Anolis sagrei: one gene and its partners. The protein of the gene in region 3 interacts with the protein of the main gene of each other region in a biochemical or structural test. Links are inferred from orthologs where the notes say so. Each region holds a gene or a part of one and is shown on either strand. Other genes may lie near its edges.

What was found. The genes of interacting proteins can lie anywhere in the genome.
Region 1: the proteins of NR0B2 (region 3) and HDAC3 form a complex in vitro, tested with the Homo sapiens proteins (2 studies listed by BioGRID). The link is inferred for Anolis sagrei from reciprocal best matches to the Homo sapiens genes NR0B2 and HDAC3.
Region 2: the proteins of NR0B2 (region 3) and SMARCA2 form a complex in vitro, tested with the Homo sapiens proteins (2 studies listed by BioGRID). The link is inferred for Anolis sagrei from reciprocal best matches to the Homo sapiens genes NR0B2 and SMARCA2.

Annotation. Positions count from the first base shown.
Region 1 is NC_090024.1:135,120,207-135,127,557, reverse strand, and holds the start of HDAC3 (histone deacetylase 3), read right to left. Parts: upstream 3,072-7,351; 5' UTR 2,999-3,071; coding exon 2,944-2,998; intron 1-2,943. UniProt on the Homo sapiens protein: Histone deacetylase that catalyzes the deacetylation of lysine residues on the N-terminal part of the core histones (H2A, H2B, H3 and H4), and some other non-histone substrates.
Region 2 is NC_090022.1:220,641,743-220,649,406, forward strand, and holds the start of SMARCA2 (probable global transcription activator SNF2L2), read right to left. Parts: upstream 3,072-7,664; 5' UTR 2,925-3,071; intron 1-2,924. UniProt on the Homo sapiens protein: ATPase involved in transcriptional activation and repression of select genes by chromatin remodeling (alteration of DNA-nucleosome topology).
Region 3 is NC_090034.1:72,711,689-72,719,613, forward strand, and holds the start of NR0B2 (nuclear receptor subfamily 0 group B member 2), read left to right. Parts: upstream 1-4,925; 5' UTR 4,926-5,227; coding exon 5,228-5,750; intron 5,751-7,925. UniProt on the Homo sapiens protein: Transcriptional regulator that acts as a negative regulator of receptor-dependent signaling pathways. Specifically inhibits transactivation of the nuclear receptor with which it interacts.

The DNA of each region.
Region 1 (7,351 bases), on a different chromosome or scaffold from region 3:
TTGCTAGGATTTATAGTTTACCTACAATCAAAGAGCATTCTGAACACCACCGATGGAGTTGAACCAAACTTGGCACACAGTTCCATAACCAACAGAAAATACTGGAAGCGTTTGGTGGGCAGTGTCCTTTGGTTTTGCAGTTGTAGTTCACTTACATCCAGAGATCACTGTGGACTCAAACAATGGTGGATCTGGACCAAACTCTACACGAATACTCAATATGCTCAAATGTAAACACTGGTGGAGTTTGGGGAACATAGAATCATGAAATTTGGGAGTTGTAGTTACTGGGATTTATAGTTCACCTACAATAAAAGCCCCCGGTGGCGCAGTGGGTTAAAGCACTGAGCTGCTGAGCTTGTTGATCAAAAGGTCGCAGGTTCGATTCCGGGGAGCGGCGTGAGCTTCCGCTGTCAGCCCTAGCTTCTGCCAACCTAGCAGTTCGAAAACATGCAAATGTGAGTAGATCAATAGGTACCGCTCCAGCAGGAAGGTAACGGCGCTCTGTGCAGTCATGCCGGCCACATGACCTTGGAGGTGTCTACGGACAATGCTGGCTCTTCGGCTTAGAAATGGAGATGAGCACTACACCCCAGAGTCAGACATGACTGGACTTAACGTCAGGGGACTACCTTTACCTTTTACAATAAAAGAGCATTCTGAACCCCACAAATGACAGAATCGGGACAAACTTCCCACACAGAACCCCCATGACCAACAGAATATACTTAAGGCCATCCAGTCCAACTCTCTTCACCAGGGCAAGAAATCTAATCAAAGCCCTTCAGACAAAGAGCCATTCGGCCATAGATATAGATAGATATTATTCACACACAGAGAGAGATATAGCTTCATAGATTTGAAAGGGACCCCTAAAGATGGACTATGATATGCTGCATATTTCAGAGTAGGCAAACCAGACACTCTCCACATCAACACTGACAAAGAAACATCACGAAATACTGTTTACCCACAAGCATAAAGAAATTACATATATTAGAAACCAACACTTTCTCATGACTTTATTTTCCAGATCACCAGACTGGACCACAGCAACGCGTGGCAGGGGACGGCTAGAAATATCTATATAAATAAAAATGTAATGTTCGTTTGTGGTATTCACAGAACTCATAAACCACTGGGGAAATTGACACCAAATTTGGACATGATAGACCTAACAACCCAATTTATGTCCTTCACTCAAAAAATTGATGTTGTCATTTGGGAGTTGTAGTTTATTTATTTATTTATGGCATTTATATGTCACCCGAAGGGGACTCAGAGCGGCTTACAATATATATTTTCATACATTATATTATTAGCATAGTACAATATCAGCATATATTACTATATTGCACTATACCATTATATTGCAATATAAGTTGCTGGGATGTATAGTTTACCTACAATCAAAGAGCATTCTGAACACCACCAACGATGGAATTGAACCAAACTTGGCACACAGTTCCATAACCAACAGAAGATACTGGAAGCGTTTGGTGGGCAGTGTCCTTTGGTTTTGGAGTTGTAGTTGTAGTTCACCTACATCCAGAGATCACTGTGGACTCAAACAATGATGGATCAGGACCAAACTCTACACCAGTGTTTCTCAACCTGGGGGTCGGAACCCCTGAGGGGGTCGCGAAGGGGTGTCAGAGGGGTCACCAAAGACCATCAGAAAACACAGTATTTTCTGATGGTCATGGGGATTCCATATAGGAAGTTTGAGCCAATTTTATCGTTGGTGGAGTTCAGAATATTCTTTGTTTGTAATGAACTATAAATCCCAGCAACTACAACTCCCAAAAGTCAAGGTCTATTTTCCCCAGGCTCCACCAGTGTTCACATTTGTGCATATTGAGTATTTGTGCCAAGTTTGGTCCAGATCCACCATTGCGTGAGTCCACAGTGCTCTCTGGATATAGGTGAACTACAACTCCCAAACTCAAGGTCAATACCCACCAAACCCTTCCAGTGTTTTCTGTTGGTCATGGGAGTTCTGTGTGGCAAATTAGGTTCAAATCCATCATTTGTGGAGTTCAGAATGCTCTTTGGTTATAGGTGAACTATAAATCCCAGCAACTACAACTCCCAAATTACAAAATCAATCCTCCCCCAACCCCACTAGCATTTACATGTGGGTGCCCAGTTTGGTCCAGTGAATGAAAATACATCTTGCATATCTGATATTTACATTATGATTTATAACAGTAGGAAAATGACTGTTATGAAGGAGCAACAAAAACAATATTGTGGTTGGGGGTCACCACAACATGAGGGACTGTATTAAGGGGTCACGGCATTAGGAAGGTTAAGAACCACTGCTCTACACGAACACTCAATATGCTCAAATGTGAACACTGGTGGAGTTTGGGGAAAATAGAATCTTGAAATTTGGGAGTTGTAGTTGCTGGGATTTACAGTTCACCTTCAATCACGGAGCATTCTGAAACCCACCAACGATAGAATTGGGTTGAACTTCCCACACAGAACTCCCATGTGGGCCACAGCAACGCGTGGCAGGGGACAGCTAGTTATAAATATTATATGTATATACAATATATTATACTACATTATATTATTATATGGCATCCTGGGAGTCATAGTTTGGGCAGAGAAGGCCCAAGACCTTGTAAAAAGACCCTAAAAGTGGTCTCAAAGTGCATTCAGTACATTCAGCAGCATTCCCAGGGCAAGGCCTTCCGCCTCAGGGCCTTGGTACCCAAGTGCAGCATCCAGGGAGTGGGGAGGGCACACAGTAAACCTCGGTAAGGAAAATATCTTTCCACAAGTTTCCCTCTTGAAGCCTCTTGAAGCCCCCCGCCCCTCCTCCTGGAAGAATGGTTTCTCTTCCTAAGAAGCCACGGGGGGCCTTTTCCGGCCAGGAGCCCCCCCGCTCCTCAAAGGCCCAACGTCACTCTGCCTCCGCGCGCGCGCACGCACCGTAGTGGAAGTTGCCTACATCAGGGTCGTAGAAGTAGGCCACCGTCTTCGCCATGCCGCCCGCCCGCCCGAGTAACGGACGCCCCACGGGCCGCGTAGCCCCGCCCACAGCGTCCTACGTCATTACGCAGGCAGTGACAGAGGAGAGTGCGCTCTCTCGCCCGCCTTTTGGGGGCGGGTGCTTACTCGAGTCTCAGCAAACTCTCGCGATATTTGACCAGCGGCCCAGGCAAATGTCAGCATTCGTCTCTTTTCGTTTTACGTCAGGATCCCTTCTTTGGGCTTCTGAAGTGTTGACATTGATTGTTGGGGCTCCTTGTTTAAATAAACCTTCCCCAAGTCTCTGCATAGGGAAATGGAAACCAGGAGTGCTTTTATTTACAAAATATTCATTACAAAATGGATCAATTACAACTACAATTGATAAAATGCAAAAGAATGAAAAAAGATTAAAATATTAAATCTATCTAATACAATTAATCTCACCCAACCTATTAAACTTGTATTCAGAACACATCATGTGATGTGCAGGGCTTGATGAATGTAAGGCTGGGGTAAAAATTGCTGGTAGAAACATAAACAACCTTAGATATGCAGATGATACCACTTTGATGGTCGAAAGCGAAGAGCTGAGGAGCCTTGTAATCAAGGTGAAAGAAGGAAGTGCAAAAACTGGGTTGCAGCTAAACATTAAAAAAAAACCAAGATTCTGGCAACCAGAATGATTGATAACTGGCCCATCATCATTGGTAAAGAGTCTGGGAGTCCTTTTGGAACCTCTGCTGACGATGGGGGCCCAGGTCTCTGCTGTTAGCAGAACTGCATTTTTTCATCTGCGGCAGGCTAGACGGCTGGCCCCCTACCTGTCCAGGGACGACCTAGCTACGGTGATCCAGGCCACGGTCATCTCAAGACTGGACTACTGTAACGGCCTCTACATTGGCCTTCCTCTGCCGGTGATCCGGAAGCTCAAGTTGGTACAAAATGCTGCTGCTCGGCTTCTTGCGGGAATTCCGATGAGATGCCACATAACACCAATCTTACTACAGCTGCATTGGTTACCAATTGAGCACCAGATCACTTTCAAAGTGATGGTATTCATTTTTAAGGCCTTGCATGGTCTGGGGCCGATGTACCTGAGGGACCGCCTCACCCCCTACCAACTCCAGAGATCCCTCCGTTCTGAGGACCAAGATCTATTGGAAGTCCCCAGTGTCAAGACCTTGCATCTAACAGCAACCAGACGCAGAGACTTCACAGCAGTGGCACCATCACTCTGGAATACTCTGCCACCTGAAGTCCGTGCCTTGTGGGACTTACCAGCTTTCCGCAGGGCATGTAAGACATACCTATTTCGACAGGCTTTTAATGTTTGATATTGCTGTTTTTAAATTGTTTTAAATTGCTTTTAAATTTTGTTAGATTTTTTTTCCATTTTTATTTAATTTTATTTAAGAAAACATACATTTGCAAATGTTTGTTGCATACAGTGCAATACTCGCCATCTATTAATGTTCTATATTCCTTTATCTCATAGTATATTTCTATTAAGGGGTCACAGTCTACTATCTAAATATTACATAAAAAGATATCATAGATTCTTACTTTGCATCCACTTCTTCCTTGTCTACAGTCTTATAGGATCCTCTATATACATTTTTAATTTAACTTTACATTAAGGTGTTGAATCATTGGTTGCCATTCATTAACGAAGTTGTCTAGCATTTCTCCTCTTAACAATACAGTTATTTTGTCCATTATCAACATAAATTTTGTTAGATTTTAGCCATTCTTGTAAGCTGCTCTGAGCCCCAGGGGAGTGACGGCATATAAGTTCAAATAATAAATAATAAATAATAAATAAATAGAATGAGAAAACGTGGAGGCAGTGACAGACTTTGCACAGGGTGAGGCAGCATAACTTCCTTTTTTAAAAACTTAATAAAACCCATTGTATGAATCAGATTTTTTTTTTATAATGTAGGTGCATACCTAAGGTTTTGTTTTACGTAGTTTTGAAGATCAAATTAGGTAGGTGACGTCCCCCATTCTCCATTCTTCATACACTGAGTAAACCAATTTCTAGCATTTGTCATGACTCTTGCCAGCATAGCAGGCGTTACGTTGGCAATTTCTTCCTGGTGTTGGTCTTCAAATCTTGTAGGGTCCTTGGATAGTTCACATAAACACAGGATTTCAAAAACCTCATAGAAAAAAATCACAAGGGGTCAAATCTGGAGAGCAGCCCGGCCACTCCAAATCCGCTCGAAAAGTAGGCCTTAACGGCAAAAGCACGCTCCTCACTGTTCCAACGCATGATGGCGACTGAACTGTGTCAGGACAAAACTTTATACTCCCGCCTCTCAAACGAGACCACTAGTGCTCCACTAGTGCTCCACTAGTGCTTCCACCGACTGAATGGTGCGCATTTTAAAAAAGGAAGTTATGCTGCCTCACCCTGTACCACTTTGATGGCCGAAAGTGAGGAGGAGCTGAGGAGCCTTGTAATCACAGTGAAAAAAAGTGCAAAAGCTGGGTTGCAGTTGTAGGGGACCCCCTGCTTGGGGTCCTTGCTGAGTCCGTCACAGAGGGCAGCAAAATGAAGAGAGTCTAGTCTCCAGAGGTAAAGCAGAAATCTCTTTATTTCAAGTGTGGCCACACAGGGAGAAACAACCAAGACAAACCAGTGTCTTCAAAAAGGCTGTCTCTGATATTTGGATATTTCAGTCTCCTTATATACATGTCTTTTCACTGTGTCATGGGCACACACCTCTCTTATCGGATCAACCATTCAAAAACATGTTTTTCTCATATTTTGCCACTCCAGTGTCTTTCACTGCTAACCTTCTACAAACTACGTAAACACACACATTATTGTTACAGATAAGCATTTTGCGTGTTAACCCACCCTGGGTACTCCCTGGGCGTTCTTAACCCACCCTGGGTATCTTGTGTCATCTAGATACATTATCTCCTCTTAGCTTCTGGTCTTCTGCAGGCCAGAGGAGAGGCACAAACTTATAACACATCTTCATGATGATGGGAAAACACATCACAATTATAAAAAATACAATAATCAACAGGACTATACCCAGGAACAATCCCTTTAGCCATCCGAAATCTGGTAACCCTGAGGTTAGCCAATTCCACCAACTTTCACCTGTTGGGGAGTAGATAGATTGTACAAAAGCAACAATCTTCTCACAGGTGGGGTAATGTCCTAAATGTGTACTAACGGCAACTGTAGTATTTAGAGTCACACAAGTTTCTTCTTGGCACAGGTATGGCATCAGGATGCTACAGCCCAAGTCATAGAATCATATCAGAATCACATCAAGGAGAGCTCTCGTGCACACACACATTCATTCATACTCATGCACACACAGGCCTCCTCCGGCGAAGATGATCAGTCTTTTCTGAGGAAGCGTGGACGCTCCATTGCTGCAGTTCAGGAAGCATGGAGATTGTCAGGGGTCCCCTGCATTTATAGGCCAAAATCCATTTTTCTTCATTTCAACAGTCAGGTTGCTCTGTCCTCTTACTAAAGGACAATATGTCTTTGTTCTCTCCAAAGTTCAAGACATTTGCATTTCAGGCCTCATGACTTATGGGGTACCTCCTGCACTCCTTACATGCTCGGCCGCATACCTCATTGTCCATTGTTGTTCAGTTATGCCTTACTGTCTCCTCGCTTCGACTGCCAAGTTCGTCCCATATTATGCCTTGTGAGAACTCCACGTTGGTTTTTCTTCAGGCCTGTTTCTTCTCTTTTCCATGCATTCAAACATTCATTCCTCACATATTCCTCCCCTTGATACATAAATGCTAATTTATCGTATCACATACATGATCCATACATGATAAGCAATTCAGTGTTGGTTATACTTATAATCAAACTTGATTAAGTGTAGAGTATATATGTTTAGGTTAATATTGAACTTGTATGATTAATCAAACATCATAGTTCATAATTGTGTTTCTAAACACGTTAACTTGTTTTCAAATATAGATAATCGATTTGTCAATCCTGTCATTCGTCTAAGAGGCCATAAGATCCAAATGATTGGCAGCAATATAAGTATCCCTATCCATACTATTAGATGTATCCTATAAAGATATCATACCAGTGGTGTTCTGTGTTTCCACCAATATAAATCATTAGGTGATATAGCACATAGGCATTACATTCCATTGTCATATACCATGGTTTTGGGCTTTAGCTTTTGTAACCTGCAGATTGCATCTGCCATTTCCAATGCACATGGTTCAACTTGTTTTACTGTTAAAGGACATACATATCCCATTTATTGCATCTATCAATATCAATTATTTCATTCAAATTTGTATATTTGGACCTTGTGCATATGGTTTTCTTGGATAACAAATATGGAACCCAGAACCATTTTCC
Region 2 (7,664 bases), on a different chromosome or scaffold from region 3:
ACCCCTGACCTTTCACAGATATATAAACCTCACTTGCCTAGTTTCCAACAGACCTCACAACCTCTGAGGATGCCTGTCATAGATGCAGATGAAACATCAGGAGGGACATTCTGGAACATGGCCATACAACCTGGGAAACTCACAGCAACCCACTTCTTAGCTCGATTTCTCTCTCCCTGTTTATTGAAAAGGCACACAACTTCTTAACCTTTAGAGAGAAGGGGGATTTCAAACCAAGGCAGCCTTCCAGGTCTAGCAATCTATTTCTTTACTGACTTATTATTTACTTTTGGCCAGCACTGTCTGATGTGTCAACATGTTTAGATCTCCCTCTGTTTATTGCAAGGACCAACTACTTCTTTACCTTGACAGGAGAGGGGATTTCCAAAGCCACACAGCTCCCCGCCTACCAATCTCGATCAGTTTTCCTCTCCCTAGTGACTGAATAGGCTGGGTATTTCTTTACCTTCCGGGATTTCAAACCAGCACAGCCTAATCTAGCAACACATCCAGATCTGTTTATCTCTCCCTAGTTATTGAATAGGCCAAGCGCAGCTTAGCCTTCATCAGGGTGGATTTCAAGCCATCCCAGCACTCCTCCTCCACAGAACTAGAAATATATCTGGTTTTCTCTCTAGAGATCTAGTTAACTACTTCTTCGCCTTAGCCACGGCCAAGCCCCCCCCCCTCAATCTAGCAACACATTTGCTCAATTTATGCCTCCCTACTTATTAAAAGAGGCCAACACAGCTCATTTGCCTTTGCCACTGGGAGAGGGGGGAGGGATGCTTCAAACCAATGCCCCCCATCTGCCAAACTGTGTTTACCTACTTATGTCAGAGGTCAGCTACTTCTTTACTTTCTCCATTGGCAAAAGGAGGGGGGAATCTGTTGGGGATTCCAAATGAACATAGCCTGATCTAGCAACCTCTTTAGATCTGTTTATCTCTCCCTACTCACTGAAGAGGCCTAGTACACATTTGCCTGTGCGTGGATTTCAACCCAACACAGGCAACAGACCTAGCTCTGGGTTGCTGTGAGTTTTCTGGGCTGCATTGCCATGTTCCAGAAGCATTCTCTTCTGATGTTTTGCCTGCATCTGTGGCAGGCATCTTCAGAGGTTGTGAGGTCTGTTGGGAACGAGGCAAGTAAGGTTTATATATCTGTGGAAAGTCCAAGGTGCAAGAAAGAACTCTTGTCTGCTTGAAGCAAGAGTGAATGTTGCAGCTGACCAGCTTGGTGAGAATTGAATGGCCTTGCAGCTTCAAAGCCTGGCTGCTTCCTGCCTGGGAGGGTATTAGCTGGCCCTGCCTGGACTCAAGCAGACAAGTGTTCTTTCTCCCACTTTGGACCTTCCACAGACATATAAACCCCACTTGCCTAGTTTCCAACAGACCCTTCAACCCCTGAGGATACCTGCCATAGATGTGGGCAATACGTCAGGAGAGAATGCTTCTAAAGCATGCCAATACTGCCCGGAAAACTCACAGCAACCCAGTGATTGCGGCCATGAATCCTTCGACAACAGACCTAGCTCTATGCCTCCCTCTTTACTCATTTCAGAGGCCAACTGTTTATTTATCTTCTCCACGAGGAAAGGGGACGTTTGTGGAGGGATTTCAAATCAGCACAGCCTGATTTAGCAACGCATCCAGATCTGTTTATCCCTCCCTAGTTATTGAACAAGCCAAGTACCTCTTAGCTAGCAACATCAACAGATCTATGTGGCTCCCCCCTCCCACACCCCGCACAACCTAAACACACACACACACACACAATCTAGCAACAGATCTATCTCCATGTATCTCTCCCTACTCATTATCTAAGAGGCCAGTTATCCTCGCCAGGAGGGAAAGGGGATTTCAAAGCCACACAGCCCGATCTAGCGACATCTTTAGAGCGATGCCTCTCTGCCTACATATGGCCAGGGGGGCAAGCAAGTCCTGCGATCTAGTGTGAGTGTGTGTGTGTGTTTATGTGTGACAGACTGGGAGATTATCCGGATCATGGCCTCCTTGTTGCTGGAACGGGAGAACCCTGCTGTTGCCCCTTGGGCTAGCTCTCCAAACTCTCAAAAGCCCAGGCAAAATAACAACAGCAGCAGCAACAATAATATAATAATTTAATAATAGATGGGCTCCGGCGCTTTGCTCGGGGCAAGAGCCAACTTCCAGCACTCTTTTTTGCTCCCAAGAGGCATCCACAAGAGCAAACCTTTCCACCTTCGTCTCAGCCTTCCTGCAATTACCCCCTTCCCCAAAATAAAGGGTCGCCAAAGGGGAAAGGAAACAGACTGTCGCTCTCCCATCGCTCCAATCCAGAGAGGAAAGGCAGCCAGCCAGCGTTGCAAGAAGCCTTCCTCCTCCTCCTCCTCCTCCTCTTCCTAGCAGCTTGTTCCTAGAGCTATTTCTGGCTGCTTTTGGGAGCCAAAGCCCTAAAGGAGGAGGAGGAGGAGGAGGAGGAGGAAGAGGATGGGGCCGCTGCCTGCCTGCCTGCCTCTTGCAGCAGCCGAGAGCCCTTTGCCAGGTCGAGCTGACTCACCCCGCCAGCCCCCTGCTTCGGAGGGAAGGTCACGATCCGGCGTGGATCCTCTTTGGCAGCCTCCAGGCAACCCGGATCAAACTTTGGCCCCATCTACACTGCCCTGTAATGCAGTTTTGCGACTGCCTTGCAGGGCCGGCGTGCAGACTCACGTCCTGCAGTTTGAACCGAGTCTCAAGCCGCATTATAGGGCCGTGTAGATGAGGCCCTCTTTTCTGGAGGAGAAGCCACAGCGAGAGAGAGTCTCCGAGGGAGGAAAGAAGGGGGGGGGGTGGAGGGGTTGCACAATCCAAAGCCAACTCTCTGCTCCCCTCCTCCATCCCAACAGAGGAAATAAATAAATACATCCAGGGTGGCAGGAGAAAGTTGTAAACAAGCGGTACCTTTCCGGGGGAGAGCGGTGCGGTGCGGTGCTGGATGCCTCCCTCTCTGAGTCACCCGGAGTACAGCTCCGGCGAGGGGAACTCGATTATGAATATGACTTCATTGATGACAGGCGAGCCCTCCTCTTCCTAAACTCCCGGCCCGCCTCCTGGCTCCGCCCACTGCCTTAGCTCCCGCCCCTCCCTCTTCGGAAAAGGCAGGCGCGCTCCCATTGGTCCAATTGCGCGGCAAGCTCCCCCGCCCCCTCTAAAGCCGAACGCGGCGCCGGGTTGGATAGAGAGAGCTGTCCATCAAAAGCTTACAGTCGCGCGCTCTTGTTTTCAAGAATTGTGGAGACAAGCTAAGCGAGAGGCGGAGGGGGAATGTCGTGCGTACGCGCATGCGCGGGAAGGAAGCGAGCAGTGCTCGAGGCTGTCCCTGCCTTGTGCGCGCAGAATAGAGCGGAAGGTCTTCGCTGCAGAATTAATACGGTTTGGCACCACTTTAGTTGCCACGGCTCAGAGCTATGGAATCCTGGGAGTTGTAGTTTGGTGAGGGACAAAGCACTCTTGGGCAGAGTAGTCTAAAACGTCGCTGTTCCCACGATTATTGAGCCAGGCAATGAAAGTGGGGCCAAACTACATTATGGCCCCTCTTTTTTCATCTGTCCCTTTGGGGCAGGAAGGAGGGCGGACTGCCAAAAGCAACCCATTTGTGCCAATCAGCTGCCCTTTCAACTTTCAAGTATCCCTTGATGAAGTCCTGGCACCAAGAGCTTGTTTGCTAAGCATACACCCAGATGGAGAAGCAGCATTGAAAGCTATTCTAGAAATGTGTTGTCGAAGACTTTCATGGCCAGAATCATTGGGTTGCTGTGAGTTTTCCGGGCTGTATGGCCATGTTCCAGAAGCATTCTCTGCTGACATTTCACCTGCATCTATAGCAGACATCCTGAGAGGTTGTGAGGTCTGTTGGAAACTAGGCAAGTGGGGTTTATATAGCTGTGGGAGAAAGAGCTCTTGTCTGTGGAGGCAGGAACAATGGCTTCAAACTACAAGAAAGGAGGTTCCACCTGAACATTAAGAAGAACTTCCTGACTGTGAGAGCTGTTCAGCAGTGGAACTCTCTGCCCCGGAGTGTGGTGGAGGCTCCTTCTTTGGAAGCTTTTAAACAGGGGCTGGATGGCCATCTGTCAGGGGTGCTTTGAATGCAATATTCCTGCTTCTTGGCAGGGGATTGGACTGGATGGCCCATGAGGTCTCTTCCAACTCTTATGATTCTATGATTCTAGGTGTGAATGGTGCAATTGGCCACCTTGATTAGCTTTAAATGGCCCTGCAGCTTCAAAACCTGGCTGGTTGCTGCCTGGGGGGATCCAGTGCTCAAACACAAATCAAGGAACATGAAAGGCACTGCAGACTAATTCGACCAGATAATTCAGCCATAGCAGAGTACCTGATGAACCAACCTGGACACAGCATAATATTTGAGAACATAAAATGCTGGACCGCCCTAACAACCACCATGTCAGGCTACACAGAGAAGCCATTGAAATTCACAAGCATGTGGACAATTTCAATGGAAAGGAGAAAACCATGAAAATGAACAAAACTTGGCAACCAGTATTAAAAACTCTCAAATCAGGACAGTAAATAAAGATCAACACAAAAAGCAGGGAAATTCCAGACAAGAATCAATCAGGGCTGGCTAACACTGCCCAACAAAGGATTCCCCCCAGGCATCAACCAGCTTTGAAGCTACAATGCTATTAAATGCTAATCAAGGTGGCCATTTGCAACATTCACAGTAGCCTCAAGCAGACACCCTGGACATATAAACCACACTTACTTAGTTTCCAACAGATCTCTCAACCTCTGAGAATGTCTGCCATAGATGAATGCGAAATGTCAAGAGAGAATGTTTCTGGAACATGGCCATACAGCCCAGAAAACTCACAGCTATCCTAGGAATGCAGTCTGTATGGTAAAGAACCTGCTCTGGGGTCAGAAGGGAATCTGCTGCTTGGGGCTATTGAAAGCAAGGCCCCATCTACACTGACTATTTCATGCAATTCGAAGCAGGCTTCAAACTGCTGCAGCCAGGAAATAAACTCCTACAAAAGCATGTGAAAGAAAGCCCTTAATGTGAACCAGTGCTCTGTAGTTTGTGTTATCAGCACTGTTTGTGTCTCAAACTGGTTCCAGGATTTCCTATTTAATCACCTGCACATATTCCTTCAATACTATTTTGAAACCGTATTAAATGGTCAGCATAGATGGGATTTAAGTGATAGAATTTGATTCATCGCTCACAGTTTTAAAACACATTAGAAATGACTGCTCTTTGACCAACTCCTCCCCTTGATGCAAAGTAACATGTTAAAAAGAAAGGGAGAGGATGCAATCATGGCTCTGCGTTCTTGGGAAGGTCTGTCATTGGCCAAATCCTCCTTTTAGTTCAGCCTCAATAAGAATTGTTCTGCAAGAGTGTAGAAATCAGCAGGCCCATTACATTCTGCCTACTGTGCTTAGCTGGCTCATAAAATTCCATCTCTGCCAATCATCCCCAGAAGTGTTGCATCTGAGAGAGATTTCCATCTAGCTAGAATAATGAATGCCGTGGTCATCTTATCAGAATTATCCTCTGGTTTGATTTTGCAAGAGAACTCAGTGGCAAAGCAAAAGAGCAGGCAAAATCACAAGGGTTTTTTTATGAGTCCGTTACCTGGACAATAAAGTGTAGATTGGGGTGAGGGGTATAAATGTGGCCACATAACCCATATAAAAAACCCCACACAATACAGTGCTATAATTGGCTGATTCGTGCCAGCGGGGCAAGCTTCGCCGAGCCCTGTCACCTGTGAAGAAAGGCTGTTCTGGAGGCAGGTGCCATAGAAACCTTTTGCTGAAACAAGGAGAGCTGGCAATCATTCGTGGCTGGACATTCCTACTGGCATTTCAGCATTCCCAGAATAAGTGTGTCAGCAGAACAGGTGTGAGATATGTTCCCATCTGGGGTGGAAAACCCAAACAATGCTTTGTGCGGCCAACTTGTCCTCTGATCCTTCTCAACACTGATGAGGCACCAGCGCTCTTTAGCAGAGAAGGTTAAACACCTTGTAAAACAACATTTCTCACAATTCCTTAGCACTGAGCTACAGCAGTGGAAGTAAAGAAAGGCGAAACAAGCTGTCTTGAAAAGAAATTAAGGCATATTGCTTTAAAAATGCCAGGTGCTGTCTGATCAGGGGCAGATGCGGTTAGTTCTTGGAACTCACCAAAGAATACCAGGTACTGTAGGTTATTACTATTATAATAATATAGATTATATTCACAGCAAACCTTCTCTGAAACATCCAATGGCTGGTGTTGGCTCCCTTGTTAGGGGTTTGCAAGTCTTTTAGTCTGAATTTTGAAGCAGATCTCAAGGCATTGAATCTAGTTGAGGAATGGGGTTCAAGCGTAATAGTGAATTCCTCTAAAGCAGTGTTTCTCAACCTTCCTAATGCCGCGACCCCTTAATACAGTTCCTCATGTTGTGCTGACCCCCAACCATAAAATTATTTTCATTGCTACTTCATAACTGTAATTTTGCTACTGTTATGAATTATAATGTAAATATCTGATATGCAGGATGTATTTTCATTCATTGGACCAAATTTGGCACAAATAACCGATACGCCCAAATTTGAATACTGGTAGGGTTGGTGAGGAGATTGATTTTGTCATTTGGGAGAGGTAGTTGCTGGGATTTGTTATATTTTATTATGCTTGTATTTTATTGTGTCTTTGTTTTAATGGACTATTTTGCTTTTACTTTTTGGGGACCTTCTGTCCTGTATGTAAGCCACCCCGAGTCCCTTCGGTGAGATGGTGGGGGGGGGGGGGGTATAAGATTAAAGTTATTATATTGTTATTATTTATAGTTAACTTGCAATCAAGGAGCATTCTGAACTCCACCAACGATGGAACTGAACCAAACTTGGCACACAGAACTCCCATGACCAACAGAAAATACTGGGTTTGGTGGGCATTGACCTTGAGTTTTGGAGTTGTAGTTCACCTACATCCAGAGAACATAGTGGACTCAAACAACGATGGACCTGGACCAAACTTGGTACAAAGACTCAATGTGCCCAAATGTGAACACTGGTGGAGTTTGGGGAAAACAGACCTTGACATTTGAGAGTTGTAGTAGGTGGGATTTATAGTTCACCTACAATCAAAGAGCCCCTTGAACCCCACCAACAATGGAATTGGGCCAAACTTCCCACACAGAACCCCCTTGATGAAAAGAAAATACTGTGTTTTGTGGTGGTCTTTGGCGACCCCTTTGACACCCTCTCGCTCTAAAGTTTGGAGTAAATCTTTGAGCATATTTGCTTTTTTACTAAAATGGAAGACAGTGGCCACCACTCTAAAATACAATGGAGAAATATGCACAAGAAAGGCTAAGACACTGCTTAGGACTATGGAATGTCCTTCCCTTGAAGTCCTGATTGGTGCCAAGACTGATTTCATTCAGGTGTCAAGTAAAACTTGACTGTTCATCAATGCCTTCGGGCCTCATTGATTTATCTCCAATAATAATGTACATGGTTTTAAATTGTTTTAATCATTTAACTCTGGGCAGATTATCTGCTTTGATGATGATGATGATGATGATGATGATGATGATTTATTTCTAGACCACCCTCTCTCCCTGAAGGGACTCAGCGTGGTTTATACATACAAAAAGGCAAGCAGGTGAGTACAAACATA
Region 3 (7,925 bases):
GTTATCCAGAAAGTAAGGTTGCAAGATTTTTTTAAATGCAAAGAATAAATATATTTTAATAAAACTTATATGGATTGTAGCATAGGTATTACATTATTTTTCCGCATAATCACCATTCAGTTCAATACATTTTGTCATCCATGGGATGGGTTTTTGATGCCTGTGTTATAGAAGTTTCCCTCCACCTTTTTCGGCCAGTTCGTCACTTCGATTTTCACCTCCTCCTCATCAGAAAACACCCAGGTGTTCCTTCAATTTAGGTAATCACAGGGTACACGATCGGGGCTGTGAGAGGGGTGGCTTAAAACATCCCAGTGAAATAAGGTCAACAACTCTTGTATTGCATTAGCGATGCGGATGCATGTTGTCATGAAGGAGACAAGACTCCCACCGTCAGCATCCCATGATATTTGTTTTGGATGGCTCTACAAAATTTCTTCATGGTCTCACAATATAGCGGTGGTCAGGGGAGCTTTTCAACAATTAAAACTTGTGCGCCAGCTGCGCCCGTACCTTGGGAAGTCTGACGTGGCCACGGTGGTCCACGCTTTGGTTACATCCCGTTTAGATTACTGCAACGCTCTCTACGTGGGGTTGCCTATGAAGACTGCCTGGAAGCTCCAACTAGTCCAACGAGCGGCAGCCAGAATGCTAACACGAGCAGGATACAGGGAGCATACTACTCCTCTGTTGCGCCAGCTCCACTGGCTGCCAATTAGCTTCCGAGCACAATTCAAAGTGCTGGTGTTAACCTATAAAGCCCTAAACGACTCCGGCCCAGTTTACCTGTCCGAACGTATTCTCCCCTATGAACCATCTAGGTTGTTAAGATAGTCTGGAGGGGCCCTGCTCTCGGTCCCACCGGCCTCTCAGGCGTGTCTGGTGGGGACGAGGGACAGGGCCTTCTCGGTGGTGGCCCCATGACTCTGGAACTCTTTCCCACTGGAGATCAGAACTGCCCCCTCCATTCTGTCGTTCAGAAAACGGGTGAAAACCTGTCTATGGGGTTTGGCTTTCGACGAGTGAATCAATATTTCTGTGATCGGATAGATGACGATGAATGATGGACAACAAATTCACTATGACGACTGACCATTGTTATTATGTGATTGCATTTTGCTATTATAACGTTTTAATTGAATATGCCATATGATGTTTTTAATGATTGTTTTGTGATTTTATTGTTGGAAACCGAGTCCCCCGATAGAGGGGAGAAGACCGGTATACAAAATTGCTAAATAATAAAATAAATAAATAAATATACCGTACCCAATTGTCACATGCTGTCTTGACATGACATCCTCTCCATAAACTGAAATGATTTCGCAATGAATTGCAGTGGCATTCATGCATTTAGGTAGCATATTACAGCACAAGCTTCGCACTTGGAGGGAAACGGAATGAGGATGCTCATCTCTAACCTTCACCACAATGCCAGTCAATGAGCTACTGACGACTGGCACTGCTCGTTCACTCCCGCTTGCTTCCTGCTACACAGCAGTGATACCAACTTTCCCTGAGAAAATTCTCCATGAGAGCTACATGCTAAGTGCTAAGTGCCTGGATAAAAAGTTAAAGGGGAAAAACTTAGACAAAAGAGGGGATTGGATAAAGGTTGGAATGAAGAAGGAAATGGTTATGGAAGAATTTAGAGAAATAGAATTGACATGGTTCCATTGTATACAATTAGAACAATGGTTTAAAAATTGGGGAAAAAATAATAAAAACAGAAGTAAGCTTAACCAATTTGAACAAATAATACAAAATGGAAGGGTTGTAGAGAAGCATGAAAATTTGAAAGGAGTAACTAGTAAAGTATATAAGATAATTGAAATAAAGAAAGGAAAAACAAAAAATTACACCTGCAAGGAGGTTTGGGAAGAAGATTTAGGGATAAAAATAAATGAAACAGTGGCAACAATTATGGAGACAAAGACATCTAAAAATGTATCAATATGGGTTAAAGAAAATTATTATAAGCTAATATGGAAATGGTACCTAACACCAGTAAGAATAGCAAATATAAATAAAAACTATTCAAAAAATTGCTGGAGAGGATGTCAAGAATCAGGAACATATATACATATGTGGTGGCAATGTAAATATGTAAATAATGTTTGGGGGAAAGTATTTAGAGAAATAGAAGATATAATGAACATTAAAATAGAAAGAAGTCCTAGTATAGCTTTATTATCATTATATAATAATAAACAATTTAAAAAAGAGGATAAAGATGCGATAACGAATTTATTAACAATAGCAAGATTGCTTATAGCAAGGAATTGGAAAAGAGAAATAAATATACAAACAGAGGAGTGGTACAAGGAAGTATGGAAATTGGCAATAAATGCTAAGCTGACATGTATTTTAAAAGTTAAAAGGGGTATATGGAAACAAAGTGATTTTGATGGAGAAAATTTATTGAAAAGGATTGAAAAATAAAGAAGGAAAGTTACCTCCACAAGAAGAATTGAAATTTTGGACAGATGATATGTAAAAGCCGTGGCTTTGGGGGGGGGGGGGAGTACAGCGGTGAGGGTTAGAAAATACTTATAAGCAGAAAAATAATACGAGATGCCAAAAGTTAAAGCATGGTAGGTTGTATTGAATAATATTTATCTGCTGTAAAACAAACACTGTATAACAAATGTATTGAATCATGATAAAATAATAAAAATATAAAAAAGAGGAGCCATCTTCCATGATGTGATGAGTCAAAGCTTAGTATTTTCAAAACATAAGAATCCCATCTTAATACACTATGCATCCAGAAATATGGTGTGGTGTGGGTGAGTGTGTGTGTATAGTATATCCCAATACGATAAGGTCCTAAGAGAGCCTTTGGAAAGGACTGTATAAGGGTTACTTACTTACTTACTTAGGCGATCCCTCGTAGTCCGAGGATGATGGTCCTCCAAGTTCGGTGTCCTGGCGGTGGGTCCGTAGGTGACTGTGGAGCCCTATTCTTGATCTGCATCTTCTTTCGCAGTGAGGGCATTGGTTTCCAGGTGGAAGGCGGTCTCAGTTGGGGTTAGCTTGACGCGCCTTCCTCTTGGCACATTTCTCTTTCACCCGCCATTCGTGCCTCTTCAAATTCTGCAGCACTGCTGGTCACAGCTGACCTCCAGCTGGAGCACTCAAAGGCCAGGGCTTCCCAGTTCTCAGTGTCTATGCCAGAGTTTTTGAGGTTGGCTTTGAGCCCATCTTTAAATCTCTTTTCCTGCCCACCAACATTCCGTTTTCTGTTCTTGAGTTCGGAGTAGAGCAACTGCTTTGGGATACGGTGGTTGGGCATCCGGACAATGTGGCCAGTCCAGCAGAGTTGATGGCGGAGGACCATCTCTTCAATGCTGGTGGTCTTTGCTTCTTCCAGCACACTGACATTTGTCCGCTTGTCTTCCCAAGATATTTGCAGGATTTTTTCGGAGACAGCGCTGATGGAATCGTTCCAGGAGTTGCATGTGATGTCTGTAGACAGTCCATGTTTCACAGGCATATAGCAGGGTTGGGAGGACAATAGCTTTATAAACAAGCACCTTGGTCTCCCTATGGATGTCCTGGTCCTCAAACACTCCCTGCTTCATTCGGAAAAATGCTGCACTCGCAGAGCTCAGGTGGTGGTGTATTTCAGTGTCGATGTTGACTTTGGTGGAGAGGTGGCTGCCAAGGTAGCGGAAATGGTCAACATTTTCTAGTGTTACCCCATGAAGCTGTATCTCTGGCATTGGAGAGGGGTTGGCTGGTGACAGCTGGAACAGCACTTTGGTTTTCTCGATGTTTAATGGCAGGCCGAGCTTCTCATATGCTTCTGTGAAGGTGTTTAGAGTGGTTTGTAGATCTTTTGAATGTGCACAGAGGATGTTGTCATCAGCATACTGGAGTTCTATAACAGATGTTGTAACCTTTGTTTTGGCTTTCAGTCTGCTGAGGTTAAACAGCCTGCCATCTGTCCGATAGATGATTTCCACTCTGGTGGGAAGCTTCCCATCAACAAGATGGGAAGCTTCCCACCTTCCATCTTCATCTCATAGCGATGAAGATGGAGAATAAAGTTGGGGTAATATAAGGGTAAAAAGCTGTTAACAGCATTGCAAGTGGTAGTTTCACTATGCTCTATGCTGCCAGTCTTTTACAACATTTTTCCCCTGCTGGAAGTTGCAAGCTTTCCTTTTTTTCTCTCTCCTGATCTGAGAACAGGCCATTGACCCCATTCCTGTGTGCTTTATGACCATTCACTGACTGCAGGGCTCCCTGTCGTGGTGCACCGGTGTGTCACGCCTTGTCATTTCACAAATCTTTGAAAGGCCTTGATTGTTCACTGGCTCTTACGGCTGGCACTCAACTAACTTTCCTCCTATTGTGTAATTTTATGTGTAAGACCTGATCTGTGCAAATCTGATTATCATATCTTCGGTTCATTGATTAATGGGGTGCAATGTGATCACCTGTTGGATCAAAATCCAGGAGAAATAGGGGAGACAGAAACAGGTGCATGCAGTTTTGCATAAAAGGAAGAGGTGTAGCCACTGTAGTATGTGTATTCTTCAGTAGAAGCCTCATAATACTTGGTCTGTTAGGTGTTTTTGGTCTCCCCACCCTTTCTTCATTATCAGCAAAGAGCAACTGTCTGAGTTAAACAAACAACTCACAGATAAATTGACTTCCAGGTTGCTGGTTCCAAGGCTAAATCTTTATGAGCTGTTTTGCCACTGGGCTGTCTTTCTTGGGCTGTAAATGGAGTGTGTCTGTGTACATACTCCTTGGCAGTGACCCCGGCCATATCCTGAAACCTGATTACACACCTGAAGCCTTGGTGCCTTGGTACAGGCTGGGTTAATGACTTTGTTTATACTGATAAGGACAATTGAGATAAATGTAGTCCCCTGGGTCTCCTGGCCCCGGCTGGCACCTTCATTGAGAAAACCTTTCTCCGGGCCACGTGAAGTCTCCGTTTCTCCCCAGCCAATTGGTTCAGGGTTGACTTGTTTTTCAATGAGCCGGTGGCTGCTTGTCAAAGGGAGGTCAAGGCTGCTAGTGGGGGTGGTTTCCAATCATCCCTTCAGGGGCCTTATAAGTGAAGCTGGGAAACGGCAGCTACAGAAAAGACGGGAGAAACTGTGGAGTGAGCAAAAGGTGTGGTAGGACCAAGACAGTTGCCAAGCCACCTGTATAGGGAAAGCGTTTGCTTTTCAGATAGCGGTTCCTTACGTTCTTCTCCAACCTGATCATGGAGTGCGAAAAGTGCCCGTGGCACCATGAAGAAAACCAGAACGCCATCCTCTACACCCTCCTGAGCCAGAACTTGAGCCCCAACAGGAGCAGCGCTGGCTTTTCCCAACAGAGCTGCATGTGCCACAAGCGCCGCACGGTCTGCCTCCGGACCCCTCAAGTGACCTGCCAGGCAGCCTCTGATGTCTTGGTGAAGACCATCACCTTTGTGAAGAACCTGCCGTCCTTCCAGCTACTGCCCTGGGATGACCAGCTCCTGCTGCTAGATAGCTGCTGGGCACCTCTCTTCCTTCTGGGGCTGGTCCAGGAGATGGTGACCTTTGAGGTGATGGAGACCCCTGCCCCCAGCATGCTGGAGAGGATCCTCCTCGATGGGCCCTGCAAGAGGCAAGAGCCGCAGAGGACACAGCCCACACTGGCCAGTGTGCAGCGGCTACAGTGCTGCTTGAACTCTTTCTATAGCCTGGACCTGAGCCCTAAAGAATATGCCTATCTGAAAGGCGCCATTCTTTTCAACCCTGGTAAGTCCTGCTTGAACCCATGTGCAGTAAGAAGGTCTGTGAGAAACGGGCCAGCTTTTCATAAAAAATAGGAGGGAAGAGGAAAGCCAGTATGGTGTAGAGCAGCATTTCTCAGACTTCCTAATGCCACGATCCCTGAGTACAGTTCCTCATGTTGTGGTGACCCCCAATCATATTATTATTTTTGTGTCAAGAGTGCCATGAGAAACTAAATTGTTTCTGATGTGAGAGAATTGACCATCTCAAGGACATTGCCCAGGGTACACACCAGGGTGTTTGATGTTTTACCATCCTTGTGGAAGGCTTCTCTCATGTCCCCGCATTGGGAGCTGGAGCTGACAGATGGAGTTTATCCGCACTCTCCCCAGATTCAAACCTCCAACCTGCCAGCAGAAGGGTTTAACCCACTGTGCTACCGAGGGCTCCATTATTTTAGTTGCTGCTTCATAACTGTGATTTTTGCTACTGTTATGAATCATAATGTAAATATCTCATATGCAGGATGTATTTTCGTTCACTGGAACAAATTTGGCACAAATCCCCAATACACCCAAATTTGAAAGTTTGGGGGGTCGATTTTGTTGTTTGGCAGTTATAGTTGCTGGGATTTATAGTTCACCTGCAATCAAAAGAGCATTCTGAACTCCATGAACTATGGCATTGAACTAAACTTGGCACACAGAACTCCCATGACCAACAGAAAATACTGAAAGGGTTTGGTGGGCATTGACCTTGAGTTTTGGAGTTGTAGTTCACCTACACCCAGAGAGCACTGTGGACTCAAACAATGATGGATCAGGACCAACCTTGGCACGAATATGCAATATGCCCAAATGGGAACACTGGTGGAGTATGTGGAAAATAGACTTCGACATTTGGGAGTTGTAGTTGCTGGGATTTATAGTTCACATACAATCAAAGAGCATTCTGAACTCCACCAACGATGGGATTGTCACACAGAACTGCCATGACCAACAGAAAGTACTGTGTTTTCTGATGGTCTTTGGTAACCCCTCATGAGCCCCCCAGGGGTACCAACCTTCATAAGGCTCACATTTATTTATCTTGCAATTTTGTTGATGAAAAATTATAGGACAGCTTTACTAGAGTAACAGCAAACCGTAACAGGTGTCACCCCTGCAGGATGAGATATTGATAAAGGTGTGCCGTTACAAGTGACCTGTAGAAAAAAGATACCAGGTGGTACATCAATGGCAATGTTGGTTGTAATTTCTGATATCCAGAGCATGAGCAATCATGTTCTGATTACAAGTCCCATAATATCTGGTTGGAGTTGTAAGCTAAAGTATTATTGCAGCCTCCCGTTAGGAAAGAGATTATGCCAGGTATGGGCAAACCCAGGTCTGGGGTCGGATGTGGCCCCTTGCGCTGTTTTCTTAGGTTGTGTCACTATCCTATCCTTCCTTCCTTCTCGCTTTCCTTCCTCCTTCTCTTCCTTACCTCCCTCTTTCTCCATCCCTTCAACCCTGTTGTCCTTCCTTCCTTTCCTTCCTCTCCCCCTTTCTCCTTCCTGTTGTCTGTCCTTCCTTCTCTCTTTCCCCCCTCCCCTCCCTCCATTCCCTCTTCCTTCCCTTCCTCCCTTTCTTTCTTCTCTTTTTCCTTCTTCCTTTCCCTATTGAGGATATTGAACTGGGAGAAGAGAAGGTAGAGAGGGAACATGAGAACCATGTTTCAAGATTTCAAAGGGTCTCCCATTGAAGAGGAGGGGAAAACTGACTTTCTGCTGCTCTAGAGACCAGGGCACAAGGGAGCAATGGTTTCAAATGGCAGGGAAAGAGATTTGACTGAAAAGCTGAGGAAGAACTTCCTGTGAGTAAGAGCTGTTAGAGAGTGGTGTAGGCTACCTAGGAGTGTGGTGGAGTCTCCTTCTCTGGAGGCTTTTCCGCAGAGTCTATCAGGAGTGCTTTGATTGTGCTTCCCTGCATGGCAAAGGGTTGGACTGGATGGCTCTTGGGGTTCTCTTCCAGCTCTAGGATTCTATATCAGGAGTAGGCAATAGGGGTCCCATGGATACACATTTTCTCTCCTGTCCACCATCTCATCCTGACCAAGGCCAACCCTTTTGGGATCCAAACATTTCCTGTTTTTCCTTCACTTTCTGCCTCTGAAAGAGAAGAGGAAGGGGAGGAAAGGGTAGGGAGGAGACTTGGGGGA